2 linked regions of the Diceros bicornis minor genome follow. Each later gene encodes a partner of the first gene's protein in a complex. Links are inferred from orthologs where the notes say so. Each region holds a gene or a part of one and is shown on either strand. Other genes may lie near its edges. The genes, in order: TACR1 and TAC1.

The links.
Region 2: the proteins of TACR1 (region 1) and TAC1 are in contact, whole or in part, in a cryo-EM structure (PDB 7P02), measured with the Homo sapiens proteins. The link is inferred for Diceros bicornis minor from reciprocal best matches to the Homo sapiens genes TACR1 and TAC1. Residues at the interface, in NP_001049.1 of Homo sapiens: Gln24, Phe25, Asn85, Asn89, Tyr92, Ala93, Asn96, Trp98, His108, Asn109, Ile113, Gln165, Met174, Arg177, Val179, Cys180, Met181, Ile182, His197, Val200, Phe264, Phe267, Phe268, Tyr278, Leu279, Ile283, Gln284, Tyr287, Met291; in NP_003173.1 of Homo sapiens: Lys60, Pro61, Gln62, Gln63, Phe64, Phe65, Gly66, Leu67, Met68.

What each region holds. Positions count from the first base shown.
Region 1 is NC_080751.1:13,836,901-13,853,165, forward strand, and holds the start of TACR1 (substance-P receptor), read left to right. Parts: upstream 1-8,534; 5' UTR 8,535-9,097; coding exon 9,098-9,486; intron 9,487-16,265. UniProt on the Homo sapiens protein: This is a receptor for the tachykinin neuropeptide substance P. It is probably associated with G proteins that activate a phosphatidylinositol-calcium second messenger system.
Region 2 is NC_080742.1:34,472,955-34,488,854, reverse strand, and holds the start of TAC1 (protachykinin-1), read right to left. Parts: upstream 6,724-15,900; 5' UTR 6,650-6,723; intron 6,183-6,649; 5' UTR 6,174-6,182; coding exon 6,051-6,173; intron 5,022-6,050; coding exon 4,925-5,021; intron 4,444-4,924; coding exon 4,399-4,443; intron 3,905-4,398; coding exon 3,881-3,904; intron 2,324-3,880; coding exon 2,270-2,323; intron 1-2,269. UniProt on the Homo sapiens protein: Tachykinins are active peptides which excite neurons, evoke behavioral responses, are potent vasodilators and secretagogues, and contract (directly or indirectly) many smooth muscles.

The sequences.
Region 1 (16,265 bases):
TACCCTATAATTTAGAAAGAGGTGACAGCATATGAAAATGTTGATCAAGTCTGAGTTCTTTCTGTTAAACTTAATGTGTGTGAAACATAGATGACATATTTTTATATATCCATAGCTCTCATCTAGAGAGGACATCACATCCCACATAAATCTGGGAAATAAAAGTAAAAACAGAACCATATTGATACATTTATTAATTTTTCATCTACCTTGTATACATTAGCTAGAATTTTAGTCATTAGAGAGGAATGTCTATTTTTAATTTTATTCCTCTGTCCTCTTCCACTTTGCATAGAAACTTTCAGACTCTCATAGTCACTCTGTATTTTTTCAGCTGTTCACATATATTATCCTTGAAAATTTTCCCAGATATGGGTTTCCATCTCAGGGACTCACAATTATATTCTGTTCCCATGGATGTCAGTGCATCCAGAGTGCTCTCGCTGTCTCCCTGCCCCAATACAGCCTTTTTCTTGCAACTGTCATCTAAATTACAACTCGCAACCAGTTCAGCTAAAATGAAATAATTTGTTTCAAGGCTTGTTGTGACCAACTTCTTCCTCTAAAACTACCTCAGACAACCCCTAGGTCATTACGTCCCTAAAGGCGTGCTGATGTCTGCCTCCCTTGAAGAAACAAAGTCTTGCATTGGAGCCCTTCAGACAGACCACAGCTTCTGTCCCTGCTCTGGCTGAGCACCACACTATCCATTCCCACTGTCTTCAGTTCAGTTCAGAGAGGTCTCACAGGTCAGTAAACGAGCACCATGAGGAACAAGGGCCAGAGTGGAAATGGCTCGATGGCGATAAATGTTTCATGTGCCCGGAGAAGGGGGAGGGGAACAACATCCACAAACAGTTATAATGGTTGTACTCATGTGTTATAAGTTAGAAGTGCTGACAAAAGGTCAAATAGAGTGACCACATGTAAAGCACATGGAACTGTTCCAGGCATGCAGTAAGCACGGTTTAATTGCCAGCTACCCGCCTCTTCATCCCCCTGCTTCCTGTTCTTATTATTAATGTTTATTGTTGTTTTGTGTCAGGAAGATTTACAGTTTGATGATTTCTGCTCTGTTGCTGCCTCCTCACCTCTCCACCTTTCTAAATTCAACCATTTTCATGCGATTCAGTCCAGTTTAATACACATGTATTGATCATCCACTCTGTGCAAAGCACTGTATGGAAGAGAGTGCTAGCAAATGAACAGTCGAGTCACATGGTTCCTCCGAGAACTAACAATCTAATTTGAAAGAGATATAATGCACCCCAGACAGTTTGCCCTGTGAAAGGATGGCTGAGGAAGGGAGCCAGTGACTAATAGTAACTTATCAACACCGTGGAGGAGAGAAGGGGATGCCTCCACACCAGGGCCTTCAGGGGACCCGGGTTTATGGGGACCTGAACGCAGCTGCCCTCCCTTTCCCTGCTAACTCCAACGTCCTCTCCCATCAGTCAAGTGGCTGCAGGCCTCAAGGGCAGATGGACACAAGTGAGCCGTGGGGCTCTGTTGGGGTTGAGCCAAGAGAACAACAGAACTGGGCAGAGCTTCCTCTGGCAGGCTATGCTTTGCTAGGAGATCAGTGTGGGAACCTAAAGAGAGGATCAAAGCAGAGGAGCCTGGGTTCTCAGAGATCTGAGGGTAGGGGCAGACATCTGCACCAGTTGGTGTACCAGGGGGTCTCTCTGCTGCCCAAAAGGCCTAGAGGGAACAGAAAAGGATGAGCGAGTTCTCCCTGCTCCTGAGGCAGGAAAAGGGCAGGGTGAGTGGAGGGCAGGGAGGCTTCCTGGGGGTGTCACAGCAGAACTCTGACAGCCTGTGTTGGTATGTGGGGGAGGGCGCGGTTAACCCTAAATCTAATTCTCCCACTTCTTTCACCACCTAGGGAATCCCTAAACTCCCACTGCTTAGAATGCTCCAACCACCATGCCTGAGCTCTGGTAACTCTATAAAGAAAACAGCAACCTATGCAAGGGTGCCTAATAGCCAGAAAAGATGAATCTGGGCAATCAGAGAACGTGCTCAAGTAAGAGAGCTGCTGAAAGAGCCAGATGAACACCCAAATAATTCAAGTACAAAAGAAGAAAAAAAACAATCTTCAGAAGCTAAACAAAAACATTCTGGCTAAAATATTCAGCATCTGTATTAAAAGACTCAAAGGAATGGCTTAGAAGATCAAGTGCAAGAAATGTCTCTGAGCACAAAGCAGAAATATAAAAAAGATAGAAACCATGAGGAAGTGTTTAAGAAACTTATAGAACTGCTTTCAAGCATTTTTTTTTTACTGCAAACTATGGTAAAAAAAATAGATTTTACACTGAAAACCTGTACACATAAAGTTATAATGGAAATAAAAGTTCACAAAACAATACTTACCCTTATTCAAAGTGTTATGCACTGTGATATTTTCTATTCTGTGTTACTTCATTTTTTAAAATACTAGTCGCCATTAAGGGGTCAGGAATAGTTTTTAAAACATTCAGAGGATAAATCCAGGAGACCTAGCATGCCAGCAATGAGTCCCAAGAGGAGAAAAAAAGGACTAATGGTAATAGGTAGAGAGAAGAGGTAATACTTTCAGAAAATACTAAAAGAAAAATTTTCTTGGGATGAAGAAAGGATTCATCTAGATTCAGGCTGGATTTAAAATAAAAGACTCACATATTTCCAAAACTTGCTTGAAGATAAGACTGATCCAGGGTACTTAGTAAAAACAGATTACTGAGCCCCAACCCAGAACTACCAATCAGAATTGTCAGGGGAACAGGATAATGTGTTTATTTAACAAGCAACTCAAGAAATTCTTATCATCTGAGAAATTTAGAAAACACTGGACCTGTTTTAAGCTCCTCAAACTTTAATGTGCTTACAAACCACCTAGGGTCTTATCAAAACACAGAGTCTATTCTAGTAGTTCTGTATCAGCCCAAGAATTTGCATTTCCAACAAACTCCAGGGTGATGCCAATGCTGCTGGTTCAGGGACAGGACTAATATTTCTGGCCATAGTTAAAGATGAGTTGCTTCTCAATTCATTTTTCATTGCATAACACTAATATCAAAACCTGATCAAGAAAGAAAAGGAAAAAAGTAAAGGAAAAAAATCTCTACATCAATCTTACTTAGGAAAATAGCTTCAAAAATGTTAAATAAAACATTGGCAAGTTGAATCCAGCAGTATATCAAAGAGGAATGATATAGCATCTGACCAAGCAGAATTTATGCCAGGAATGCCAGGGTGGGTCAGTGTTGGAAAGTCTATCCACTTAATCCACTATGTCAACAAGTTAGTGAAAAAAATTACACAACTATATTAACAGATCCTGAAAAAGGCATTTAAAAATAAAAGAAATTACAAGATATTTCTGTTAAAACTTCAAGATAAAATAAAGTAGAAGGAAACTATTTAAACATAAAAGACTGTTGAGCAAATTCAACAACAAATATTATCCTAAATGGTAAAAAAACAAAGCCATCTTAATTTAAATTCAGAAACTATACAGAAATACCTGCTATCACAATTTTTAATTTAACATTGTCTTAGAGGGTAAAGGAAATTCATAGAGACAAGAAAATACTGATGATGTGATTGAAAACTAAGGAAACTCAAGTAAAAAACACTAGAATTAATATGAAATTTAGGTAAAATATATGTATATACATACACACACACTCACATACACACAAATTCATATAAACAGAAGTCAACAGCTTTTCTTTGATCTAGGACAAAAAAGGAAAAATATTTCATTTACAATAAAAACAAAAACTATAAAAAATAAAGAAATAAATTTAATCAAAAAACTGGATCTATTATAACCAAAACTATAAAATCTTTTTGAAAGGCATAAAACAAGACTTGAAGAAATGGAAAGCCATACCATGTTCTTGGATGAAAAAACTTAATATCAAAATGTTAATTTTGTCAAAATAAAATAAATTCCAGGCTGTTTCAATTAGAATACTAGTGCAGTTTGTTTTGTTTGTTTTTTTAAAAATTGAAAAAAAATATTGATTTAAATGTGATGCCACAAAGTAGATAAGAAAAATAGGAAATGAGCTCTCAGGTGAACTTGCCTTACCAGATATCAGAATATTTTATTCTTGTGGTAGTCAGGATAAACTGCATCATGGTGAGTAACAAGTTAATCCAAACCCTAGTGACTTAACATAACAAAGTTCTTTCCTTGCTCACGCTGCATGTCCATAGCGACTTGGCAGGGGCCTGTGTTACACAGTTACTCGGAAACTCAAGGTGATCAAGACCTGTCATCTTGTAGCTGCATCATTTGGGGCTTGGCAGAAGAAAATACATGGAGAAGTCTCTCTCTCTCTTTCTCCCTCCCCCCCTCCCACCCCACACACACACACACTTCTATGCTTCACACATCATTTCCACTTAGAATCTATTGGCTGAATTTGTCACATACATAGCTCTGCCTAATCACAAGGAGGCTAGGAAAAGTAGGAGATCATATGAATTATATATATATATATACACATATATATATGTGTGTATATATGTATGTATATATATATATATATAGTGTTGCTATAGGAATAGACAAATGGATCAGTGGGCAAGACTGGAGAATATAAATATTAAATCACATATACTTGAAAATTTAATCTATGACACAGATAACGGTTTAATTCCTCAGGAAAATGGATGGAGCTGTCAAAACTAGCTAACTACATGAAAAAAATCAAAGTAAATCTTTTACATAATATATAACAACAACTCCAGGTGAATTTAAGATATAAATGTAAAAAAATGAAACAATAAAAAGCTGCCAAGAAAATTTAGGAGACTATGTGAAAAAAAGGATTTGGGAAGACTTTTAAACCAAGACTCAAAAACCCAAATGTTATTAAAGAAAGTACAGATTATATAAAAATTGTTTTAAGTTTTTATGGCAAATACATAAATTCAAGAGATAAATAATAGCATTAGAAAAAATAGTTGAAATATTTATGACAGGCAAAGTGTTATTCAAAGAGCACTTAGAAAAAAATGACTGGAAAGCAATCCAACAGAAAAAGAGACAGGAATGTGAATAGACAATTTACAGATGGAAAAATCCACATAGCCAAAAAATCTTAAAAGAAGTTCAAATTCTCTAGTAGTCAGAAAAATGAACACTATGTATTAGCAATGTTATCATATTTTTACATATTTCAGACTGACAAAACTAAAAGATTTTTAACATCTATTACTGGAAGAGATGTGGGGAAAAGGGTAATTTAGTTGCTAGTGAAATGTAAGAGTGCTACACCCTTTTGGAAGTCAATCTGGCAACCTTAAATGGAAATATACAACATGTATACATATACCCATATAAATATAAATACAATCCGTTACCTAGAAATTCCACTTGGAATCTCTCCCATAGAAAGAAAACATCAGACTGTGGAGACATAGGTAAAAATGTTGATTAAAGCCTTGTCTTTAGTAGCAAAAGCTGGAAGCAAAGTGAATTTCCATGAATAGGGAAAGGAATGTATAAATGATGGTGCATCCATACCATAAGAATAATATTTAGCCATTGGAAAAAATGAGTTAAATCTATACCTGTTGACTCTGAAGCATCCAGACAATGTTTTGAGTTAACGCAACAGAAGTACGTTTCTTTTGTTGGACTTTCAAAAAGTGAAAGTCCCATATTTGTATAAGCTTACATGTACAAGTATCATGTGTATTTCCGTCTGTATAGTATTAAAGAGCCTAGACAAATAAGGAAGGATTTATTCTAGATTGTCAACAGAATTTACCTTGAGACTGGTGGGCCTGTGTTGTGTGTCAAGGAAAGAGTTAAGTAGAAAGGGGAGCCAAAGAAAAAAAGGGTAAGGAAAAAATATCAACTGTTGGAGGAAAAAAGCATATACAGGATCTTATCTATACATCTGTGCTACGTTATCCCTACGTGGGAAAGAAAATCTTACTTTTATAGAAGGGTCAGAGCTAGAGAAGGTCCCTCAGCAGATTGTGCATGAACCAAGGACACCTTCTGTTACTGTATGGCTGAGGCATTTTTTTTTTATGTGACCCCGTTATGAATATGCTTTGCTTTTTTTGGGAAAGAAATTAACTTTGGCAAGTCATACATATTCCTAGGACATGGCTACCTGCCGTGAGGAATTAGGAGCAGGAAAGAGAGCCACTGAGGCCAGCCTCATCCACATGTGAGGGCCAGGAATGCAGACCCTTGGAGGCCAGAGTAAGGAATGGAGGTGTTCCTCTAAGTGAGCTGGGCAGTCCCTGTGGGACCTTAAGCAGAGTGCCATTGTTTGACATATAAAATGCCTATCTGGAATATTCTGTTCCCTTTCATCCTCAGCCTCTTCTCATCCTTAACACATTCTTCAGGCTTCTCTATGGATATGATTTTCTGCTCTCCTCCCCGATTCCTCTCGTTGTCAAGGTTAAGTGCCCCCACCATCTTCTCCTCTCATGCAGAGCCTAGTACCTTTGCTTATCCTAATACTTCCGGTTTTGTGTAGTTAATTGTCTCATTCTCCTTCACCAGACTGTGAGTGCTTGGCCCGGCTGTATCCCCAGGACAGTACCTGGTTCAAGGTATCGACTTGCTCTACTAATGAAGGACAAATGGATAAATCTTTGTTTTTTAGCTTTTATTTTATACTTAGCTTTCATGATATATTTAGGTTTTATTAGCTTTCTTTTTTTCCTCTAAGCGTTGAGTAAAGTTCCTTTAGAAAATGTCAGCCTGCCTCCACTGGACAGGGGGAAAGAAAGACAGCTTTAAACAGCTTGGGAGGAAAAATAAAGGTGGACACACACGCACACTCTCCTTCAGCTCTGCGAGGTGATGGAAGCAGTAATGAGAGATCCAGGGTACAAGGGAAGGCTTTCCGTTCCACAAGAAGGCTCTCCTTTGCTGTCCCTCTAAATAAGGGGGCACAGGGTTTAGGGGTGCCTAGAGGACCACGCAGTGCAAGGGGCAGTTCATATAAAAGCTGACATTACAGGCTTAACAAAACCAGAGTGAATTAGCGATTCCCCAACCACCCCGGCGAGAAGATCCGCTTTCAGTCCAGCACAAATCAGTACAATAAATTTCTAAGCCTTAAAGCGCTTCCGGCGAGATACTTTGCGCGATACTTTGCGCGCCCGCCGCAGAGGCTCCCAACAGGAGGGCTAGTGCGTAAACGCCGCTCTCGGGAGAGCGCGGGCTTTCGCCAACTCGAACCTCCGCGCCCCGCCGTGCCACCCGTCCCTACCCGGGTCCCACAGTTCCGAGTCCCCGCAGTGAAAGCGGGGAGGTAGAGAGGTAGATGGCCCCCAGAAAGACTCCGAACGTTCGATTCCCCGCGGAACCGTATCTCCTGGGCAGACTGGCTGGAACGCTCTCCGAATCTCAGCCCATCTTCTCTTCTCCAAAACGGTTCGCACCGACTGGCTAGTTCTTCCCGCCTCCTCCCACTGCCCCGCACCATCGCGGCCGTTTTGAAATGGCCTTGAACTGGAAGATGAGTCCTCAAAGCCAGCCAGGGGCGGGGTGAGGGTGGGGAGAGAAGGCAGGCAGCTCTACCCTCTAGTTCCTATGCAAACCTGGGAGAGAGGAGGAGGGAAGAGTTCGCGACGCCACCTCGGGCCCCGCTCTGGCCCGCAGGCCCGGGAGACGCGGAAGCAGAGGCTGCGGTGTCCCCGAGCGGAGAAGGCGAGGCCGCAGTGGGTGTTGGCAGAGAGCCCGGAGCCGCGAGTCTGGGCGACACACTGCTCACCGAGCTTCACAGGGAGCCCAGCCCAGTCCCCATTGCCTGCACGGGGGGCTCATCTGGGGAGATCAGCTGTAGCTTTTCATGGAGCGAGGGGCCAACGCACTGCTGGGGAATGTGTCCCCAAAGCTTAGCGCCTACCACTGCTTCCCGGGAGAATCGGCCCACCAAGGAAAGGAACTAGGTATTTTGGGGGTGTTTCCTAAACGCGACCTCAGGAAAGTTATTTTCCGGACACCTGGAACCGGGCAACGTCGCCTCTCGCTTCTCGGCAGCAGCCAGAGCGAGCCCGCGGTGCACTTGGGCTGGAGAGAGGCCCGGAGCGCAGCGCTGGCGCGTCGCCCCCACACTTGCCCGACTTCCACAGCCACAGGCAGGCGCCTCTGCAGAGCTGTCGCAGCGCTCCGGGCTACCCTCCTTGGAAGTTAAGTGTCCATCACCACAGCTCTTTGGCAAATTCTTCCTTCCCTCTTGGCGCATCTGTGGTTCCAGCTGCAGACCCCATCTGGCGCAATTACTCCGGGGCCACCTAGCGACCCCTCGCGGACTGCGTGGGGCGCCCGACTTGCAGACTCCCACAGCAGGTAGCTGCAAAAGGCGTGGCGGCTGCAACGGTGGAGTGAGACAGTTGCCAACAGCTGGTGCAGCTGCCGTGCTGCGCACGGGTACTGGCGAGTACGCAGCCCAGGTACTGCCCCTTCCCGGTGACGTCTCTGCAGCGGGTTATAAAAGCCTCGCGCAGCCTGCCGAGGTTCTGCTAACTCCCGAGCCGAGCGGGACCCGAGCCAAGAGGCGCCTGAGAAGCTGCAGGCAGCTGCGGCGGCGGCAGCGACAGCAAAGGAAAAAATCTCCAGTTGGACACGGGGCACAAGAAATCCGGACATTGACTCAGAACTTTTACGGGTTGCGCTTGGACGAGCACCCCCCTTCGCCCCCAAGTCCTCACGCAGTACGGGGCTTTGCCTTTCCCGCTGCAGGAAGGGGGAATAGGAGTTGCAAGCAGCAGCAGGTGCAGAAAGGCGGGGGTCTCCTGCTTCCTGGAACCGCGACCCGTGGAATTTCTTCCCCTTTTCCAACCCGACGCAAGAGAGACGCTGTCTCCAGATTTCTGAACTCAAATGCTTCCTGAAGCTTGAAAGTGGAGGAGGAATTCAGAGCCACGAGGGGCAGACAGCGCATCAATAAGCGTTTATCTTCTGAGCCCAAGTCTCCTGCTTACAAGAAAAGAGCTCTGCCCAGAAAGAGCCTGCAGCCCTCCTGTCCTGGTTAAGTAGAACCCTAACCCCCGGCGCCGGCCTCAGGACCCTGCTGCAAAGGCCAGGTGTGTACAGAGGAGGGTTTAACCGCCTAGCAGGGGAATGGATAACGTCTTCCCAGTTGACTCAGACCTCTTCCCAAACATCTCCACCAACACTTCGGAGCCCAACCAGTTCGTGCAGCCGGCCTGGCAAATTGTCCTTTGGGCAGCTGCCTATACGGTCATCGTGGTGACCTCCGTGGTGGGCAACGTGGTGGTGATGTGGATCATCTTGGCCCACAAGAGAATGAGGACAGTGACTAACTATTTCCTAGTGAACCTGGCTTTCGCAGAGGCCTCCATGGCCGCGTTCAATACAGTGGTGAACTTCACCTACGCTGTCCACAACGAGTGGTACTACGGTCTGTTCTACTGCAAGTTCCACAACTTCTTCCCCACCACTGCTGTCTTTGCCAGTATCTACTCCATGACGGCTGTGGCCTTGGATAGGTGAGCTTGCCCTTTGTGGAACAGGGAGAAAGTGTCTATAGAGGACCATGGCTTTGCTTTGGAGCTTCGGGGCTGGATTGTGCCTGGTTCAAGGTGGAGATTGGCCACCCAGACCCTGGGGTTTTTACCGACCGCCAGTTGAGTCAATTGTTGATGAGGGACTTTCTCTTATCTCACCATTTTCTTTTCTAGTTCCTCTTTTCTTTCTCCTCGTTTTCATCCATCACTAGTCTCCCTTCCTTTCTTTACACATCCTCTTTTTTCCTTCATTAAACCATCTTCTTCATCCCTTCTCCACTCATCTTCCTGACACTTCTCTTTCAACTCCTGCTTTGCTTCTTTCCATATATGTGTTCTTTCCTTTACCATGAAAACCTGAAGGAGATACCCAGGGTTTGGCCAAGGGGCTGGCCCCTGGCTAGGGCTTTGTAGTTCCCTGCAGGCTTGCTATTCTACTGGGCAGACTCTTGGTGCCTTCCAGTTTTAAGTAGGCCTAGGCAAAATTTCTCATTTTTCACTTTTTTCCTGAAGATTCAGGGACTCTGCTCCCACCTCCTCTCTCCAGTATCATTTGGATGTAAAGAGCGTTTCATTAGAATCATAAAATACTTAGGATTCTAATTCAGCTCCCTCTATGCAGCTAGGGGATCTCATTCAGGAATAAGAGGCAGCTATGCTGTTCTTAAGGAACTCTTCAGATAGGAATCCAAGGAGCTTTACCCAGGAGTTTTTCTAAATTTCTCTTGCAATGTAAGGTCAATGTTTTTAGCCTGTCTGTATCCACAGAGAAACGTGCTTGGCAAAGGCAATTGAGAGCTCTTTCTTTCCTGCAGCCAACAGGTTAGGGCTTCAGAAGCTGATTGAAAGTGAAAAGGTTGCATTTTCAAAGATTGGGGCTGGCATTCTGGAATGAATGGCTCCTCAGGTGGCATGATGGAAAATTGATTATTAGAGCACAGCTTTATTTGTATTGACTTTTTTATGGGTGTCCTAGGTCTCTAATATGTATATCTGTGTGTGCACAAGTCTTAAATGTTTACCTGGGCTGTGGAGGTATGTTTAAAACACCTGCCACTGTGATTTTTAAGTGGTTTTTTTGATGGCCTTGCTGAGATGAATATGAGAAACCCAAAGAAGGAGCTAAGAGAAAAACTTCAAAAAAAAAAAATTCCCAAACTACTGAACCCTTTTGCATAAAGATTGTTTATGGTTCGCAATTGATTTGAGATCTTTTTCAGTTCTGCGGTCAATGAACACTTAAAATCGGAGAAAACTATGTTTCCTTTGCAGTGGTGTCCAAATGCTGATTTCTAAGTTCCATGTACACCTCCTTTTATGCAACTTTTATGTGTTTGATATGTTGTGTGCAAAACAAGTTGTGGTGAATCAATTTATATTTTAAATGCAGAAGGGAAACCAGTTACTCAAAGTTCTGGTGAAATGAATGCTTTTCTAAATTTATCTTTTATGCTACTCTGGTTTTTAGATATTTGTAAGGTGCACCTGTAAATCTTTCTGCACTGACTTGCTTTAACCTCACAGAAGCCCCGTCAAACTCAGAATACCCCTAGCATGCTATATAACTGAATATAGGTGCAGAGATATCTGGTACCACTCCAGCCTTCCACACACTCTCTTGACGATCCCTAAATTAGAGGGAAAGTTGGCATTTTTACTGTGTTGGGGCCTTGCACGAGCTCAAGGGAGACCTGTCAGTCAGTGTGAGCTCCAGCATTCAGTAGCTGATGGAGCGCCAGCAGACAGCTCTCTTGCTTTGGCTTACACAGAAATGACACCATGTTCCACAGCCCTGCTCTTTCTCTTTGAACTAGAAGGTTAGAGGCTGGAGTCGGGGTCAAAATCTTCACAGTGGATTGGGCAGGGAGCCAAATTTCGGCTGCCTTGACTCTGGCTTCTCAGCCTCCACTGTTCTTTCTCTCCAAGCAAACCACAGACAGGACCTTGACCCTGAGTGACACCTGCTCAGTAAGGTCAGAAGATCTCTGGGGCAAGAGCTAAGGGAAATGACTGCAGTGAGAATGTCCCCATGTCCCTAATGTACAGATATGGCCTGGGGAGATTATCAGCCACATGCTCAAGGTTCAGAGTTCAAGGTAGGGTTAGGCATGAGGCTTCAGGGCTCTGTCTCTAAGTCCTCCAAGGGCTCCTTCTATTTTCTTTACTCAGCCTCATGAGCACAGTGAATTAGTCCCCTCAGGCCCTCTGAAAAATGTAGCTCCCCTGCATGCATGGTCATCCATTCCCTCCCAGAAGGGGCCTTATCTCTCCTTTCTTCATCACGGCAATGCAGACTTTGAGGAAATGTTAAATTGTCTTTTTGTATGTTCCTTGAATTTTTAACAGATAATCTTTGAATCAAGTCTTAAAAAATAAGAACAACATGCTTTTCCTGATTATAGAATTAGTTCCTTGCAGAAAACCTGGGAAACATGAAGACCATAGACCCCAAAATACAGATCAACCATTACTACACCATGTAAAAATAACACCTGTTAACACTGGAATTTCTCTTTTATGACAATTATCCTACATAATTGAGGTGAGATTCTATATAATTTTGTAGCTTACTTTTTTCCATTGATATTAGTGGAAAACATTAATAACATTTTCCCATGTTATTAAAAAGTCTTCAGTAATATAATCTTAATGGCTTCCTATTATTCCATTTATGAATGTGCTATTATTACTTTAACCACCTCCAACTGCTGAGTATTTAGGTGATTTCTAGATTTTTTTGCTATTATGATTAATGCGCTAATAAACATTTCTGTATGATAATTTTGTTTTGCTTTCTTGATTATTTTCTTAGTATAGATTCCCAGAAGTGGAATTACTGGGTCAAATTCAATGAATGTTTAAAAAAACTTTTCATTCTAACTTTAAAGGATTACAAGCTCTGAGCAGAGCAAGGCCTACTTCTGTTCTGTCTTATTTACTTTATCTCCTCAGCACAAAGCAGAGTGCTTGGCACCTTAGAGTCACTCCGTGTTTATTGAGTAAGTGAATGAACATTTGGAAAATACATAAAATTGTAAAGAAAATGTAAAAATCTTCTACAGTCCTACTATTGACAGATAACCAGTTAAAATTCTAGAATGCTAGCTTTCTATACGTGTTACCTCTGCTGCCTACAGCCACTCACGCTTTTAAAATAAATTTTGGATCATAATAAGAACAGTTTCAATAGCTGCTTTTTTGGTTTTTGTTTTTTTCCTTAACATAATATCATGGGCATTTTCCATGTCATGAAATAGTTTTCAAAGCAAGATTTTTAATGGATGCATTGTATTGTGTGGCTATAATCATTTTTTTCAACCATTCCTGTATTTTTCGATGTAAATTGTTTCCATTTTTAATGATTACAAGTAACTTTGAAATGAATATCCAGGACATAAATCTTTGAGAGCATACTTGTTCTTTCCTTAGAATAAAATCCTTGCAGTGGAATTGCTGGGTCAAACTTTCTTGGTAAATTTTGCCAAATTTCCTTCTAGAACCAAAATGTATGCAGAGAAAAAAACTTCAGCTGCAGATTGTATTACTAATTTAAATCTTTCCTGTAATCTTTCCATTGAGTGGAGAATGAGACAGAGAGAGAGAGAGAGAGAGCCTCTTCAGAAGGAATACTTATTTATTGAAGGCAATGGTTACCTAGAATAAAAAAGTTTTAGAGACAAATAAACTTGAATAAGAGCAGATCTACCTCTAATTAAACTCCAACAAACACCAGGGATTTTACTTTTGGAAACTCTGTACTTTCTCCCACTTAAAATAAAATTTAAAATTTCTTTCCTATTGTACAAACAAAAAAGTGTATGTGATGTTTCATGAGATCAGAAGGTAGAGGACGCTGAAAGGTGACACCTCCATTTTGCAGGGACTGGTGATGATGGCCAGTTCTGGTATTGTGGGACAACATCTAAGAAGAGAGGAGGGAGACCAATCCCTAAGCCCCACCAGAAGGGCTATAGGGGCAAAAGGTAACCTGACTTGGACCCAAGCACACAGCAACAGGAGGCTCAGAAAAGCACTGGCCTCTTAACACCGCTTCTCTACCTGGTAGGGGCAGGTATAATTTCAGCAACATGAAAGGTGAAGGATGCCCACTACTCAGACTGGTTCTGGATATGTTGTATTTGAGTGAAAGGAAACATCCAAATGATGATGGTCTCTGGACAATATGAAATATAGTCAGGACTAAAAATATAGTTGCGCAGATAGGGGTACTGGTTGAAAGCAAAAGAGGAAATGAACTCTTTGAGAGAATAAAAGAGGAACCAGAGCAAAGAAATGCATAAATAACAAAACCTCTGCCCACTGATCCCTGGTGTCCATTCCATTTTGTCCCAGTCATCTCCAGCTACAAGTTTAAATAGCCTGCTTCTCAGGTCTCCGCTAGACCTGCAGTCTGTCCATGAACCTCACCATGTTGGCTAGAGTTGGGTCCCATTGTATATCTCAGGGCAGTCCTTCCTCACCCAGAGGCTGGACTTAGATTCCAGCATCCTTTGCACTAATTTAGATGGACCTTACAATCCGTGACCATCACTCCTGTAATGCTGAGAATGGTCATTCACTAGAAGCTGGCCCTGACTTCTCAAATTAGGAACCTCGAATGTCTGGGTTGATGTGGATCAAATTTGAGTTTGTTACATCTTGGATGGGTCATTTAGGCTGCAGGATCTTTCCTGGAGAAGTTCAATGCCCATCTGCTCTCTGAAGCTGCCGCCACTGCACTTATCACATCCTCTCTCTACTCACGAGAGTCCTCAGTGTCCTGAATGGTCAAGGCCCTTGGTTTTTTTAAAAACTGGCAGAAACATAGGTTCAATTGAGGGAAAATAAAGAGTAATTCTCAATGTAAAAGCCCATAGTAGGAGCACAAGACTTTGTTACTATTATTGTGTTGAAATAGCAAATGGTAGAATGAGGATCATGAGGGAGAAATACTCACTGTTAAACTTGGACAAAGATCTTCAGTCTATCAAGGGATGATGCCACCAGGTAAGGTGATATTTCCTATGAGGGCTTAGGTTACCTATTGGGGCAAATAAGACTGACTGAGAGATAACTACAATATAAAGTGTTAAGCGATATGTTTCATATGGATTGTACAGACAAATTCTATAGGAGAGAAGAGGAGGGAGGTCGTGTCCAGCAATGATGATCAAGGAAGACCTCAAAAGGTGGCAGTCAAGTTGGGCCTTGAAGATTAGATAAGATTTTGAGAGACAAGGATAAAGAAAAGTGAGATTCCAGGTAGAAGAAACTGTATTGACACAAGTGTGGTGGTAAAAAGTTGCAAAGTGTTCGGGGAGAATGACAGGCTGACTCAATTGAAGTGAATTCACAAGTGAATCAGGGAATGAATGGAGGAGTTGATGGGAAGAAAATGAGTACAATTTTTGTTGGATTTGATGTGAAAATATAACAATTAGTTGGAAATACCCAACAAGCAACTTAAGAAATGGGGCTAGAGAATGAGAAGCCAGGAATCCAAATGTAAATTTGGGAGTTTTCCAAACAGAAGGGTTATTGGAATTTGGGAAGTAAAGAACATCACTTTCACCTGTGTAGGCACATGTTTCCAGAGAAGAGGCCAAAGATTCACAGGAATGTCCTATCAGGCTATAGGAGGGGAAAAAAAGAAGAAATAGAGGAGTAGTGGAGAAATCAGCATATGTGGAATGACAAAGGTTAAGGGAGGTGACTTGTGGTTAGTTATATTCATTAGTGTCAATAGAATCCAAAGACGATGAGGACATTGGATTTGGTAATTAGAGAACATTGGTGAACTGTGAGAGACAGTCATCCATCCATCCATCTACCCATCCATCAAACCATTGTGGAGCACCTACTATGTGCCAGATGCTGAGGCAGTAAAATACTGCCTTTGCCTTTGTGCTCTCAGTCTTTGGGGATTGACAAAGTCATGAACACCATTATAACCCAATGCAATTAGTACCATGCTGAAGGAGCTTGGAGACAGAGCAAAGAACTACCCCTGGGAATATGGGAAAGAATATTTTACTGGTAAAATAGAGAAAAGGAAGGGGAGGAGGAGGAAGAGGGCAAAGGGGAGGAAGAGGAGAAAAGAAACAGCAAACTAAAGAGAAAACAATGTGGATTTTGGGGGCTTTTTAAATTAACTTCATCAACACTGGATTGGGAATTCTCATAATGATTTATTAATGTTTGTCACTTGGAAACTAGAAAGGAGATTTCATGTTAATAAAATTGACAATGATACCATATATTTGCATGCTCTTCAATCCATTGTTTCATCTAATTCTCAATACCAATGGGGATTCTGTTTCGACCTTGGAAAGACTATTAGGCACTATTTCTTTTAGCATTGTCCTCCCACTCTCCACTCCCTCAGAGCTTGGAGACCCATGCAATTTGCTTTCATGTGCCTTAGATATCCGCCTACATACTCCCGCTTAAGATGGCTTTTGGATACTATATCATTTAAGTAAAGCTGTCCTTGAAGGCAGAAAAGCAATGTAAGGGTCCTACTGTGCCAGAGAGGACATTAGAGACCCTTAGACAATTTTCTACTCAAGTAAAAATTCAACACGCCAGCGGTCTAGACAGGGCCATTGTAAGAGTATTAAATTCTGCTTAAATATATTACTCAATTTGTCTTATTTGTTAAATTAATTCAATTTTGAATCATTACAAAATTATTCCTTTTGCTGAACTAAAATCTGTGCCTGATTGTGGGCTGCTCCTACTAGTAAATGCCTCTTCCATGT
Region 2 (15,900 bases), on another chromosome or scaffold:
ACTGTGCTTTTTAAAATTCAGTACGCTTTGTATAAAATACTGAATTTAAATAGAAACAGTAGAAAGAACTGTGAAAGATGTGTAGGAATCATGGGTGCCACTGCAAACAATTTTTTTGGCGAGAAGGATTAGCTGAGAGAGAAGGTAGGTAAAGGCTCTGGAGTTATCACTTTCACCTTTTACCACTGAGCAGATGATCTTTAGCATCCACACTCCCCTAAATGGGGTTAAGGATAAGCTGAATGTTTCATGTCAATCATGGATGCACTTCTGGGGTGGAACAGTCAGAGTCTCCAACTGGGCAGTTCTGAAGGAAGGACACAGTCCATTTCTCATGCTGGTTTGTTTATATTAGGAGGATGACTAGCACAAGTTCAGTTCCTGAGAAGCTTTAGGGAATCCGATTCTGTTCCTCAGAGAAGTGAGGTGAAAGCTAATGTAAACTAACCAAAGACAGATTAGTCATTTAGCTGGAGTATCATGTCCTCTTAACTGGAAGCAGTTTCTTACCTGGTCCTTGAACTCTCTCAAACCGAATGTAAGTTTTTGTGTGTATGAGCTGATGAGGGTTTCTCTGGGAAGAGGGTTTCTAGATTTCTCAGATTGTCAAAGGGGTCTGTGACCACAAAAAGTAAGGATCAGATGGCTGTAGAAGGTTATGATTACCTTGTCTCAGCTGATTATATGAAAAGATCTCTGACTATAGATTACATTTTCTGCACATTTTTTTCTTTTCTTTTCTTAACTAAAACGGAGGAGCAAAGATTTTGTCAAATTGATTCTGAGTCATTCCAGTGATTCTATTTATTATTATCTATAATTATAACTTTAAGTACATTTAATAGCATTAAATCTGCAATAAATTGCACAGTATCTATATTATTGTAAAGTTAAGCATGTTCTGAAACTTGTATCAATTCTGGAAACGCAAAGTTGATGACTAATATGATTATCAAGAAAACCACAGTTATATAAGGGCTAGTGTATACTTCTGATACAAGTAAAGCCACTGTGTTTTAAATTTATATTCCGTTTCCAAAAGCTGGAAGAAAATATATATTAATAAAACAATTTTAAGTTTTTCATTGGGATCACTGATAACTTCTTTAAAATTTAAACTTGAGCAGCCCCAAAATTACTGATGAAGAAATACAAAAATAGTGTCTAAATCTGGAAGGTAGAGAACTAATATCAATACTAGGATATATCATTTTTGTATGACTTTTCCAGATAATTAAGCCAGCACATCTTAGTTATAGATTTTCTAGAAACTTGTAATATTCTAAATGGATAAGACGGCTGATGATTACTTTCTAAATAATTACATGATTAGTATTTTAATTCTTTTTTCACTGAAGGTAAAACAAGGAGAATTTGACTAGCTTTCCCATGAAATCTAACCTAAGGACTATTAAAGCCTGAATGTGCTTAGCAAAAAATCAGTCCCTATGAAAATGATGTAGGGGTTATTTAACCTTGAGAATACTGTGATGAATGAGTTAAGAAATAAGAGTTTTCAGATATATGTATGTGTCATTTATATAGAAGAGAGAAACTAAAGAGAAGAAAAGAAATATGTAGCCTTTTGTCAAGTGAAAGAGTTGTTCAGAATTAAAATGGGTTATGAGAATTGTGGCATCCATTGTCTCTAAGGGTTTTATGGCCAGAACTAATTAGAACTCTCCAGGATGATTTAATTGTGTTTCTTTTTGAAGGCACTGGAATGGACTATATTACTCTCATGCTCTCAAACATCCATCAGGATGTTTAGAGTTTGAGCTTCTATAACTTTATGAAGAGCATGTGATTTGTATAAATAGATTTGTTTGTTTTTGTTTATTTATTTTTGTGTTGGAAGACTGCCAGATGTAACGTCTTGTAAGACTTTCAAATTACCTTGGCAACAAGTGAAAATTTGGTCTTATTTCCCACATACCCTCCTCCTCTTAGTTCAGTAAGGTTAAATGTGGCTTATTTAACAGATATAAGGGAAAGAATATTAGACTAGACCAAAGATTCAGGTTAGGTAATAATTAAATGAGGCAGACACTGATAAGGCTGGTGGTTTGAGAGAGATGGATAGTGTGGTGATATTAGCTTAATCAGCTATAAACCCATTCTTGGATTTATTTATTACAATTAGGTTTTTTTTCACCATAAATGCTCATTTTAAATTTATTATTCCTTTTTAATACTTTAAAAACTGTCTTAGAAAGAAAAAATACAAGTAGATTTAAGATACTATTTTCAGTCATTATTTTATACATACCAGGATTTAAAGCTCTTTTGCCCATTAGTCCAACAAAGGAATCTGTTTTATGCCCTGGAAAAATACATTTAGGGGTATTTTAATATGTATATCTTTGAGGAAATAAATTCTTATAACTAGTACCAAAAAAAAAAGCAAGCTTCTGAATATACGCCCATTTAATAAATATATATCTATTTCAAGTTTTGTTGAGCCTGAAGAAATGAAGATTTCTAATAAGTCTTATAAATAACACTAAAACAATACCATGAAAGCACTTCCTCAATTCTATATCTAAATATTAGCAAGCATCCTTTATTCATATTATATTTTATTTGTTTAAATATAAAGTTTTATATATTGTTGCTATTTAAGCTAGCTTTGATTTTTAGGGAGTCAATTTCACATTTGTGTGACAGAGAAATATCCAAGCCTATTTCCTTATGTTACTGAGTATGTTGTATTTCTCAGGAACTGAACCTTAGTTAAGTCAGATACCTTATAATTATAAACTTCTAAAAGGTCACTATTTCTATTTTATTGCATTTTTAAAAAATACTCCTTTTGAAAATGTGTGTTAATTTTGACATTAATAGAGTATATTTATTTCCATTACATAGAATTTTCTACATAGAATTCCCTTGTAACTCAAATCCTTTGAAAGTAAATATGAATGATTTATTTTCAAAGATGAAACCTTTGGGAAAAGTTATTATTTTAACTGTATTAGGAGAACGTCTCTTGGTTTTCACTGTTATTAGTTGAAAATAAAGTTTCTATCTTAATGTGGCCTACTCTGCCGCCGCCCAGTGAACCAAAATCCAAGTCAGAGTAAGTGGACAGTATAATTAAGATGGACCCCAGGGACTTCCTGTCAACTCTGGTTCCACTAACTGGGAAACTGGGATCTAATGGCCATCAAGTGCCACACTACTGCCACCTTCACCCCCCTAAGAAATATTTCACTGTGTTTTGATAGACTGAGGTTTCCCATTCAATTATAGAATCAAAAAACTGCATTTCTATCTATATTTACCTTTAATAAGGATTCTCTACTCAGACATTCACTCAAGCCTCTTAATTGGCTGCTGGATTACCCTACTAAGTGATGTCATTATGGGAGCCATCATACTAAAATGATTTAGAAGATACCTGTAAATGCTTGTTTTGTTTCTGTTTTTGTTTTATAGTGGAAGTGGTGGTTGAGCCATCGGGGAGAGGAATGTGTGGTGGATTTTTACTCCTAGAATTGAAATTCTTATCTAAAACTAACAATTTATAGGAATTAAAGGATTTCTTTCTTTCTTCCCTCCTTTCCTTAGCAGCTTAAAACAACAACAAATACTTAATATCTCACAGTTTCTGTGTGTCAGGAATTTAGCAACAGTTTAGCTGGGAGTTAAAGGATTTTTAACATCATGTATTCCTTTGGTAAGTATGACATGTCTAAACAACAGAGCTTTAAACAATCATGTTCTAGATGTAATATGAGCCTCCTCCATTCTTATAGTGTCTTCATTTAAAATATTAGGTCCTAAGTTATAGTAGAAATAAGATCAGATATTATATAAAGTGGGATTCAATCTAATTTACATTCGCATTTGATAAATGTCAAAATAATTTTGAACTTACTTTTATGAGAGATCGGGCCATGTCCTGGAAGAAATAAAGATAAAATGAGCAAACACAATAAATTTGTTTTAAAGAAACTACATTATATTTTTTTAAAGAGAATTATAAAATAAATTGATTTTTAAAATATGTAACATTTCCCATTCATGTACTATCCTGAGGAATATAGCAGAACCATAAATGCTAACCAAATTATTAATAATAAAAACAAAATATTTCAATAAGCAAAAGGAATATTTTTTTAAGTACTTTCTTTGGGTCACAGATTCAAATGCAGGCCTGTGAGACTCCTGAGGCCTGTTAACAACTGTTGGGCCTACCACCTCTCTGTTTTCTTATAAGAAACACATCTTCATGGAGGGCCACCCATTTGATGCTCAGGAGAGAGACAGATGTAAATCCATCTCGGTATTAAACAAGCATAATCAAGAATCTGTATTTCAGCCCATAAAAGACTTTTTTCACTTTCCTACATGTGCATTCACAATAGTAAAATAAAGATTTATAGAAATGTTTACCATAAAGAGCCTTTAACAGGGCCACTTGTTTTTCAACTGAGGAATCTGACAAGAGACGAAGTGACATTAACTATTTACACGTTCCACTGATGGTGAGATGAATTCAAGGAAACTGAATATTTCTATCATGACACCAGGAAGCTAATCTATTCTAACCCCAATGGTCTATAATCATCTTCCACACGCACCTAGACCTTTCTGAGTACTACCCCCCGGAGGCCCCGTGCCTTCTCCCTCTTTGTCAGTTTGGATCTTTAGTCAAGGGAGCATTTAGCTAAGGTTGGTTCCTGTTCTTGGTGGTTTGGGTCTCTAACATTGTGAGGCAAGCGAAACGGATCTCTCCCTCCCTCCGCGGGCATATGCGAGTGTTAGCGAGGTGCGACCCAGAGGAGCGCCCAGGGAGTTACACCTCTTTTAGGGCGGAAATCTCTACCCAAAGAGCAAGAGAGACTGGGCTCTGAGAACGAGCGAGCAGACAGGGCGAGATGCCCGGAGACACAGAGAGAGGGATAGCTGCCCATCTCACCAGCATCCCGTTTGCCCATTAATCCGTAGAACTGCTGAGCCTTGGGTTTCCGGGCGATTCTCTGCAGAAGATGCTCAAAGGGCTCGGGCAGCTCCTCCTGGAGGACAGATGTACGGACAAACCGGCGTGTAGTCAACCAGCGCGAGGATCCCGGAAACCCGGGTCATTCCGATGGTGAGCTCCAACCCTGAGCGAACCTCGGCTCCCGGCAGTGAGGCCCGCCCCCGGGGCCTCGGGGAGGCGAGGGGAGGCCAGGCTTCCCCAAGGCGGGGCTGAGTGGGTTCCAGGCCGGCCGGGGTGCTCCCTTTCTCCACCCTTCCCCGCCGAACTCCTGCCCAGCGCCGCTGCCTCCCCCAAGCCCTGCCCTTGCGAGTTAGCAGGAGGAGCAGCGTCTCCCAGCCCTGCGCGCTTTCCGCTCTTTGCTCCCATCCCGGAGACCTCAACTCATCTGCAGTGCAGCCCCCTGACTTTGTCTTGACTCTGTCGCCAGTTTTGGAGCCGCCTCACCGCCCTAAATTCACACAGGTGTGCGTTGGGTGGGGAAGGGTGACAACGCTTTACAAGCGACCTGCACGGCGCGACTTTGTTCCCGCTAGGCGCGCTCCCTTGCACCCATAGTCTGTGAGCCTTGTAAAGGAAAACTTAACGACTACGTCCTCAGGTCGGTAAAATGTCAAGGCAGGAAGTTAGCTTCCCACCCACCTACGCCCCTCTAAGCTCCCAGCGGCTCACCCCTTACCCCGCTGATGCCTGCATCTGGCGCGCCATCCTCTGCCCCTGCCTAGCGTTTCCAAACGCCCGGTCCTTGCAGCTGGACTGGAGTCCCCGAATTCCCGGTTACTCAGGGATTAAACCTTGTGAGGTTTCCAGCCTTGTTAGGATCCCGGGCTCCTCAGGGAGGGCATCATTCCTCCAGGGAGTTCCCGAGACCCGACGGTGCAGCCCTCGGGAGGAAACTTGGATGGTGGGCACAAAATCTCGTGCGGGACCCAGGGGATGGCATTCCTTTACACCTCTGGTGGCTGTCGCGGTGCCCGCCAGGCTAACTAGGTGCTACCGCGGGGCGAAGGCGACAGCTCCCGAGCCCAGGAAGAACGGCGCAGGCCGTCTCCGGGCCGGGTCTCACCTTGATCTGGTCGCTGTCGGACCAGTCAGACCAATAATTCAGATCATCGTTGGCTCCGATTTCTTCTGCAAACAATTGAGTGGAGACGAGAAAAAAGACTGCCAAGGCTATGAGAATTTTCATGTTGGATTTCTGGAAAGAGTGGAGAGAAGAGACCGAGGATAGTAAAATATATGTATTGGAGGGCGGTTATCCAAGAGTTGGGGGTGCATAATCCTCGGTCCCACAAAGGAACTCAGGGCCCACTTCAGTCCCACAAAGGAACTCAGGGCCCACTGAATCACGATAAAAAGCCTAAGGGCTAAAGGCCTGCCGGTACCCTTTAGGAAAGAGAAGCATGCCCCAAAGCTTCTTAAATTCCCTTCTCCCTGGATCCCAACTCCCCCAGCCCCCAACCCACTGATCCACACCTTCAAGCCAGGAACCTCTGCAGGTGGAAGACAAAGAGGGACACTGGCATTTGGAATACCCGTCTCCCCTCTGTCCCCCCACTCACCCCCCACAGTCCCTCGCCTCAGCGGCTCTTCCAGCGCGGCCAGCAGCCGCCTGGGAGCCATGCGCGGTGCGGAAAGCCCACTTGGCCCGGAGCAGGCACTTACTGAGGCGGACAGGCCCGCGGGGTTCCTCTGGCCGGTCCGAGCGCACGCCGGGCGCTCCGCACTCTCGGTCGCCGCGGCGGTGGAGGGGAGGTCGCAGCGCGCTCTCTTGCCTGCACCGCGCGGCTCGGTATTTATCCGAAGCTCGACCAGCCTCGAGACCCACGTGACACGCTCCCCACGCGACTTTCTGCTCAATATTTAATTAGCCGCCTCCTCTCCTTTCGCTTGCGTCTGATTGAGAGTTTCCGAGACGGTAACCCGTCGGTGCCCATAACATCTGGACCCAATTGGGTTCGAAATGACGCACATTTGGGAAATTCAAGATCTCGCCATCCAATCCCAAGCGGCCAGGCTTCTTCCGTCTGCAGATCTGACGCCCCCTCCCCTCTCCTTCTTCCGAACGGGGTTCCGTGACACCTGAGATTACTCATCAAAATGGGGCAAAGTGACTCATTCCTCGGACTTCGGCAACTTTTCCGTCCCTTGAGACGTCAGGATAAGTTGCACTTTTAAGGATGGCCGAATAACTTCAGGTATTAAGATGTCGTCGGAAATCAGGCTAAGGAAGGAGCGCTTCAAGTGGGGAGGGAGGTATTTTTTTCCCCCTTCTATTTCCATCTGCAGAGTGTCTTAACTGTTTCTGAGATACAGCATCTTTCTATGAGCAGAACATCCTTCTCCCAAATCAGCTAGAATACTGGCGTTTCTTTAGCTTTACAAAAGGATTTTCAGTCCCGTAGTATTTCAGACGATGGCAGCAGATTTATTTTACATTTTGGAGAAAAGGGAATTTAAACGTGGCGTTGTACGTAGAACTTTTATATCAGTGCCATTCTAGGATATCTTTTGTTCCAAGCTTGCTAAGTCCTCTTTCTTGCCTAATCCGGAAGCGGGGGTTGGAAGAGGACGTTTTCCCTTCTCTTCTACCCTTTCTTGCTGAAGACTAAGACACTGGCAAGACGGTGTACGGGATCCTTGCCGGGTGTCGTTAAAGGACTCTACAAATCATTCACAGATTTCTTCTGTATATGAAAATAAGGGTAGTGAAGATGCTAATTGGGCCGTCGTTAATAAATACCCTCTATACAGAAATCACAGCTTTCCATGAACCCATGAGTTTGTCTTGCAGATACATTTCTTTCATTTCAAAATGAATTAAATGACATAGTGTCTTGGGTGGAGTTCTTTTCTTCTCTTTACTTAGTATTATATTTTTCAATTAATTCTGATGTTTTTAGTATAGTGCATTAAGGGAATAAGTTTTTGCAACTCGTTTAAACCAGTATTTTTTTTCCTTTAACATTTGTTTTTCTCTCTTAAACAACCCTGAATTTTGAAATTTCCATGTGTCTATCTCATTTCTTTAGGCCTAGCTTCACAATGTGAGGCATTGTATTCTTTGTTTTTATAACTTTTTATATGGAAAATTATAAACATACACAAAAGTAGAGAATCATCACTTGAAAAAATTTTCAGGTTTACCTATAAACCCTTCCTATTTCTCCTCCACTCAAATTATTTCTAAGCAAATCCCAGACATCATTTCAACTGTAAATATTTCAGTATGTATCTATAAATGGTAAGGCTTTTTAAAAGTAAAAACAGAACCATGTCATTATTCCACCTAAAAACAACGTAAAATAATTTTTTACAACGTTAAATATCCAGTCAATATTCAAATATTCCTCATTGTTTCAGAAACCCCTCCCCCCTACAGTTTAATGGTTAAAATCAGAATTGTCATGAAGTCTATGCATTGCAATACATTCGTACATCTCTTAAATCTCCCCTAATCTATAGTTCTCTCGATCTCTTTCTCTTGTAGTTTGTGAATTGGTCAGTAAAGTGTACTACATTCTGGAGCTTGCTGATTGCCTCCTAATGGTTTCTTTTAATGTGTTCCTCTGTCCTGTCCATTTCCTGTTAATTGATAGTTGTATCTGGAAGCTTAATCCCACTTAGGTTCAGTTTTCCTGACAAGGCTACTTTCTATGTGTTGTCAGGAAGCACATGATATCTGTTTGTTTCTCCTTTTGAGATGTTAGCAGCCACTGATGATCATTTTCTAGATCCACTAATTCATCAGTACTTTCAAAATAGTGTTATTCTGATTTTATCATTCATTTTGTATTTATTAGCTGGACTATTTCTTCCGTATAAAGAGAAACTTGTTCCTCAACAGCTATTTGGTTACTCCAAGACATGGTTAACAGAGGAAAGATGAGATAAGTGCTTGATTACTTCCCTTTACCAATTTTAAAAATAATGAGTTGGTATATGGCCTTTCCTCTCCCATATTTAGGATTATTATGACCTCATGGATTTAAACACATTTGAAGTATTTTAACCCTTCAAAGAAGGATAGAGGCAAGCCGCCTTCTAACTGATGCTCCAATTATCTCATTTGTTGGCCTGCAGATGACTTTTCAAATTGGTTCCTGAGACATTTGATACCCCTTAAATAGGCTTTAAGGGGTTTCTTGTTTTTTGGTATGACAAGATATTCCAGGTTTAAGTTGTGCATTTCCTGCCTCGGACCTGCAATTTGCATTTAAGGAGCTCTTGTTTCCTTTGAATTAGAAATGATAATTAGAGACCATAAACTGGGCATTATGGGTGCACATTGCTACTGAATTCTTTATTGTTTCAAGACCTTTTCAATGAATACAGCTGAAAATGTGTATGTGTATGTGTGTATATGTAAAAATAGTGAAAGTATACTGACACTTTGTATTCAAATCAGGATACTATAGGATCTTTCCTTGACCTCTTCTGTCTTCTATCCTTGACCTCTTGCCTCTTTTCTTCCATGACAAGAAATCCAAGTTCCCAGGGACATCAACATGATGACTCATTTGCTTTATCCCAATACACAATGCCAATATGGTCAACAATATGATTATTGGAAACAGTTTAAGGGTTTTTACGTGTAATCTTTAGGATATATCATTCTAGGTATGTTCAGCCAACTCACTTTAAAAGTTCTCTCTATGGGTATGCTACAAACTCTTACAAACATAGCTTCATTTGCTCATTTTGCTCTTGAGTTTTAGGGGTTGCTTTTTAAATTTAATTTAACCTTAAAATTATGTAAAATACATAATTCCAAACTCAAATATTCAAAAGATAATGCATTCAAAGAAGTATAGCTTCAATCCCTGTCCCTCTACTCTTTTCCCTCTAGTAACCATTTCTTTTTAGGTTTTTAGCTTATCCTTCTATTATTATTGTTATTTTAATATCAGCAAATATGTATTCATATCCTTCTCTGCCTTGTAAAATTTCATACCTAAAGTGGGGCATTTTAGATTAATATATATATGTTTTTTGTTTCTCAGTTACCGATGTGGTTTATGAGGTAACAATAAAGACAGCTATTTCACAATTTCTTCCCTTTAGCCCCAGGTAACTAGTGTATAACTCTGTTCGGATGCCATATGTTGTAAATGTGCCACAGAACATAAAATAAAGGCTGTTTCATAGGATTGAATAATAAACAATAATGAGATAAAAAATTGATTAAAAAATACATTTCCCACTTTTTCCACATCATTCATTAATTGTTAAATTAGCTCTCCTAGTAAGGTCATGCACTTACTGACACACTTTCTCCTTGAACATTGCAGGGTTTGGGATGTTTATATTCTTTATTTGTTTTTATTTGGGATATTTATACTCTTTGTTTTATTTCCAAGAACATCAAATTTATGACAATATACATATTAATAAAATACATATGCATGAGAATTAGAATGATGAAAAAGTAAGTAGTTAATAAATCAGTTTTTATGTTTGTAAATTAAAAACATGACGAAAAATACAAAGAAAAATTACTATCTTTTGTTTTCTCATAACCCAGAATGAGCCACTGTTAACATCTTGATAGACTGCTGACAATTTTTAAAGGGAAAAAAGTCAAGTGATTGTTTTTGTAAAGTAAGAGATACTCTTTATAAAAAATAAAGCAATGCAGAAAAATACAGTAGTGTGTTGTTTAAAAAATTACTTCAAACTCAGAAATTTTGCAACTCTTAACAGTAAGAGAACATCATTGTGAATATCTTTCTATGCGTATTATATGGTTAGAAGAATAGAGCAATAGACAAATAAAGTTATAAAAATAGGATGAGACCCTCAGACCCTCAGAAGTATTTTTAATGAAAGATAGCTATTTATATTTTATTTGACTTTAGTAGAGGAAAAACAAAAGTGAAAAATGTTTCTTCACCACAAGATATTTTTTCCATAAAAGAACCCATTCATGGGTTCCTAAAACAAGAGTTAGGAATAAACATTAAGAGGCCAGCATGTAACATTTAAAAAAAATAGATATTTAGACAATATCTATTTATTCCCTGTTTTGAAAGATGAGGACTTTAGCACTCTTAAACGTCCTCCCAACTCCCCTTCGTCTCACCTCCCAATTTTTGTAGTTACATGATTATTTTAACATTATTCAGGTTTATAAATTCACATTGAGTGTTGCTGGCATACTTTCAGTAGCTGTCAACTATTCATTCTATAGTTAAACAGATTCATTGTTCACCACTAGTCCTTTTAATCTAGCTTTGCCATTCTCTAGGTTTTTTTTAAATCACTCTTATTTGGCTGGATGTCATTGTCAAGCAAATTTTTCTTTCTCAAGAAGAAATCGTATATATTGCATTCTCTGAGTTCTTTCATGCTAGTGAATGTCTTTCGGTGGCTTCTATGCTCAAATGACATCTTGATTAGTTGTAATATTTTAAAATTAAATTTCATTTTTCTCAGGACTTTATGGACATTGCTCCTTTGTCTTGTGGAATTGAGTGCTGTGGAGAATTCTGAGGTGGGATAGTTTTTCCCCCTGCTTGAGTGTGATTTGCTGTTTTGCTCTGACATCTGAGGAATTCTTTCTTTATCTTTGATATTCAATAGTTCAGTTAGGTTATGTCTTGTTGATCACCCTACATCTCATTTTCTTGAAGTATCATGAACTCTTTTTGTTTTGCAAATTATTCTCTTTCTTCATTTTAGGGAAATTCTATTGTATTATGTCTTTGAATGTATCTTTGAAATGGAAATTCCACTTCAAGAATATTATGGTCCTTTTCTCTGGATCATAATATATTTTAATACATATACATATAGTATAGTAATGTATATGGTATCTCACGTCTATAATATTCTTCCAAATTGCTTTAATTCTTTGCCCTTTTCCTCTGCATTCACTTAGATTATTTTAACTTTTTCCTCTTTGTGTCAGTAATTCACTTTTGTGTCAGTAATTCGCCTTACTGTTTCTAATTTCCATAATCATGTTGCGTAGTCCCAATTTATTCTCATAGACAAGTAATTTCCTTTTTCATCTCATTTAATTGCTTTATCATTTTATTGATTTGCACTTATTTTATTGAATTCATGTTCTTATTAAGATATTCTTAGTGTGAAGTAATTAAAGGAATTTCCTGAGTTATGTTTTATTTTAGTTTAGCAGTAAAATGCATGAATTTTGAGCAAGCGCTGCCAATTTTGATACTGGCTTAGCCACTTGCTAGACATGTGGCAAGTTACTTAAGAACCTTCTGCCTCCATTTTCTAATCTGTCAAATAGGATAATAAATAGTACTTACCTCATAAGGTTGCTGTGCGGATTAAATGAGTAAATACATGTGAAGTGTAAAGAACAGTGCCTAGCATATGCAGTGAATATTAACTATTATTCTTCTTCTAGGTGGCTCTCTTTGTGTATTTGTGTGTATGCACGTGTGTGTGTGTGTGTGTGTGTGTGAATGGTTAATTTTGTGTGTCAACTTGGCTAGGCTATGTTGCCTAGTTATTTGGTCAAACACCAGTCCCGATGTTGCCATGAAGGTATTTTTTTAGATGCGATTAATATTTGAATCAAATTAATATTTGACTTTGAGTAAAGCCATTACTCTCTGTTATATGAGTGGGCTTCATCTAATCAGCCGAAGGTTTTAAGAGAAAAAGACTGAGGTCTCCCAAGGAAGAAGGAATTCTGCTTTGAGACTACCTTTGGACTCAAGACATCAACTTCTTGCTGAATTCTATCTAGCCTGCCCAGCTGCCCTGCAGATTTCATATTTGCCAGTCCCCACAATCTTGTGAGCTAATTCCTTAAAATCCTTAGTTAATTCCTTAAAATCAGTGTCTCTTCTCTCCTTCTCTACACACATAACACACACATGCACATATAACACACACACACACACACACCTTATTGGTTCTCTTTCTCTGGAGAATCCCAATACAATGTGTAATATATTTGCATAGTTTCTGGGCCATTCTCTCCATCTTGATGTTGCTTGGGTGACTCTGAGCAGACAGGCTGAGAATGACTACTTGACTCTGTTCCTACAATATTTGAGATTTTTTTCCCCTTTGAGGGAAAAAAAAGGATTTGTGTTCTGTTCACTTTTCTTAGCCTGAGGGAATGACAGAGGGAGGAGGAGCTTGAAGTGTGATGCCGTCTGAATACCCAGACTCTGCTCTTTCCCCTGAGATTTTGTGCAGTGTCTTGTTCCATGTCAACTCCATGTCAATTCCCTGGTTGGAGGGTCTTTCTTGCGAGGGACGCCCTTGGATTTGATCTCTGCAGTCTGGAGCTTCCCTCCACTCCCCTTAAAGAGTTAGCTCTGTTCTTCTCTGCCCTGGTGTCACCAGTTTCTCTCAGCCACTTGTATCCCTTGCATTTTGGAAGAAAATAATGATTTGCCTGCTCAGTTTTCTCCTCTCCATGTGCAGCATCATTGAGAATTCTCAGAATTTTGTCAATTTACCAATAAAACTTTTGGAAGGTGATGGCAAGGTTGAGAGGACAGAGGCTCTGTGGAGCCAGGCTGTGATAGGCCTCTCTGCTTTGCTCCAGAATTTTCTGTTTCTTCCATTGCCTACAGGTTCTTGAAGATGATTGCTTTAACTAGACTGTGACTCTTGATTTGTTTGGTTGCTGATTGTGGATTTCAGTTTTTTCCAGGAATTAACAATTTTTACTTTATTTCGTAGGCATTAGAGAAGGCCTAGAATAGCACCGTGTTCACGTTCCCTGACTAGTAAATGTGTGTGCAATTGTTGGACATCACCTATGCCAAGTAGATGCATCAGTTCTTTCCTGTTTTGTTGCTCCAAACTCCAGAACTTTAGAAAATGCCCTGGAACACAGCTGTTGCTGCAAATATTACATTGGAAGAATATGTTGTCTGCAAGGCGAAGCCCCTTCTCTCCTCCCTGACACACTGGCTTACCTTTTACATGTTATTTACATGGGAAATCTTGCGGCTATGATCACTCCTTTTTACTTCCTGCCTCATGGGAATTCTAACTTGCTTTATTAATTTTTTATTTGAGCACACTCATATCAATCACTCTTTAAAATCCTTCCAGTCTACACTGTGTTACCTGTGTCCGATATTTTCTCTGTAAGCAGTTTGGTTGCACAACTCATCTGTGGTAAGACAATTTTGCTGTAAAAGATAAAATAACTGGTTGACAGTTTTGGTTTCATTTGGTTACAATGGTTTTCATAATGAAAAATGAATAACAAAATTAAAAAGACTTCACTGTGAAAAATGAAAATACAAAATATTTGAATAGCTAAATGTGTGTAGACTCATGGCACTACTGTGCAAAGAACAGATGTGATTTTGTGGATTGTTACCTAAGCACTTTGTCTTCCAAGTCTTTCATTCTTAGTATTATACATTTTTTTTTTTTTGCTTGTTGATTCTTTTCCACCTTCTGCCTTGCACTTTTTTTCTTCTGAAATTTCTTCCTTCATTAAGAGAGGTATTGGTTTCATCTGAATACTAGGATGCATATTTGTAAGCAAACAAAACCAAATGAACAGAATGAAAATTATTCATATCCAAATGAAACCATAATGAATGAAACCCAAAACTGTCAACCAGTTATTTTATCTTTTATGCCAAAATTGCCCTTACAGCCGATTAGTTGTGTGGCAAAACTTCTTGCGGCAAAGATTCTTACAGCAAAAATACCTAGAACTGTTGTTACCAGGTCCTGAGTTATTAACCATTTGCCAGTGTGTGAGAAGAAACACCACAATAGAGTCAAATGCAGAGTTACAAAGTTCTGCACCATCTGAGGTAGCCTAGAGGGGATTTTAAGCAATTGTACTCAAAACCAGGTAACATATGGTTTCATCATGGAATGCGAATCACCTGTATCTTTATCTTATTACTTCCTTCTATGTTTCACGATGCTGCCTCTTCAAGAGTTTAGTCTTGTGTTGCCATCTCTTTGTCCAGAAAGCCATTTCTTATGGGAAACTAATTTTAGTTCCTGGTATAGTAAAGTCAGAAGTGGGCACATCACTGGAAAAAGGACACAATACTCCAACCCTCCAACCTTCTGCACTTGCCATAAGGAAAATTAATTCAATAAACACTTATTTAATGTACGCTATATTTGCCAAGCAAATATGGTGCTTGGAATTCAGAGATGAATGAGTCACAGTTTTTGCCCCAGGAGGGCTCAGGAAAGTCAGGGAGGCAGGACATATAATAGATGCTGTAACAGAGGAGTATTATTATGTATTACAAATTATGGGAGCATAGAATGAAATTTCCCTGGATGGGAGAGGGTGGGATAGAAGGAATGGGGAGGGAGAGGGAACAGCTTAAGCAAAGGCAGAGAGGTAAGGATATGGGTTGGCTATCCATTGGAGAACCCAGAACCAAGGTTGCAAATGTTGGAGGGGGCAGGGATTGGGAGGGGTAAAACCAGCTGAGGTCAACTGACATCAACTCTTGGTTCAATCTAAACATCAACAAGTTCTATTAGCAAGCAAAGATAACTTGCTCTGGAAGAAGAGCAAATCATAACTGTTTATCACCTTATAAACTGCTAGTCACTGGTGGTTCTTGAATCAAAAGATTAGGAGTTTGGTGGTTGTTTGAACTATTTACATATAGTCAAGGATAATAGTTGTTAAAAATATTTAATAAGTGTGTTTTCTTTCCACTGCTTCTGGGTGCAATTAAGAAATTCCCATCATATATACTTGCCAAAAGACTGAAGGTGATCTCCTTTTCAACATGACTATGCAATCTTAAAATAATAAGCCAGACTAATAGGTCTACTGAAAATACTCCTAATCAGATATCAGTGCGGCTAAACTGGATCCTTAAAGGTCAAAAATTCAATTAATATTAGGTACAGCCAGCCCAATTGTCTTAGAAAAATGGCTAATTTGTAACACATCATAGAAACACTAGTTAAAAATCAGG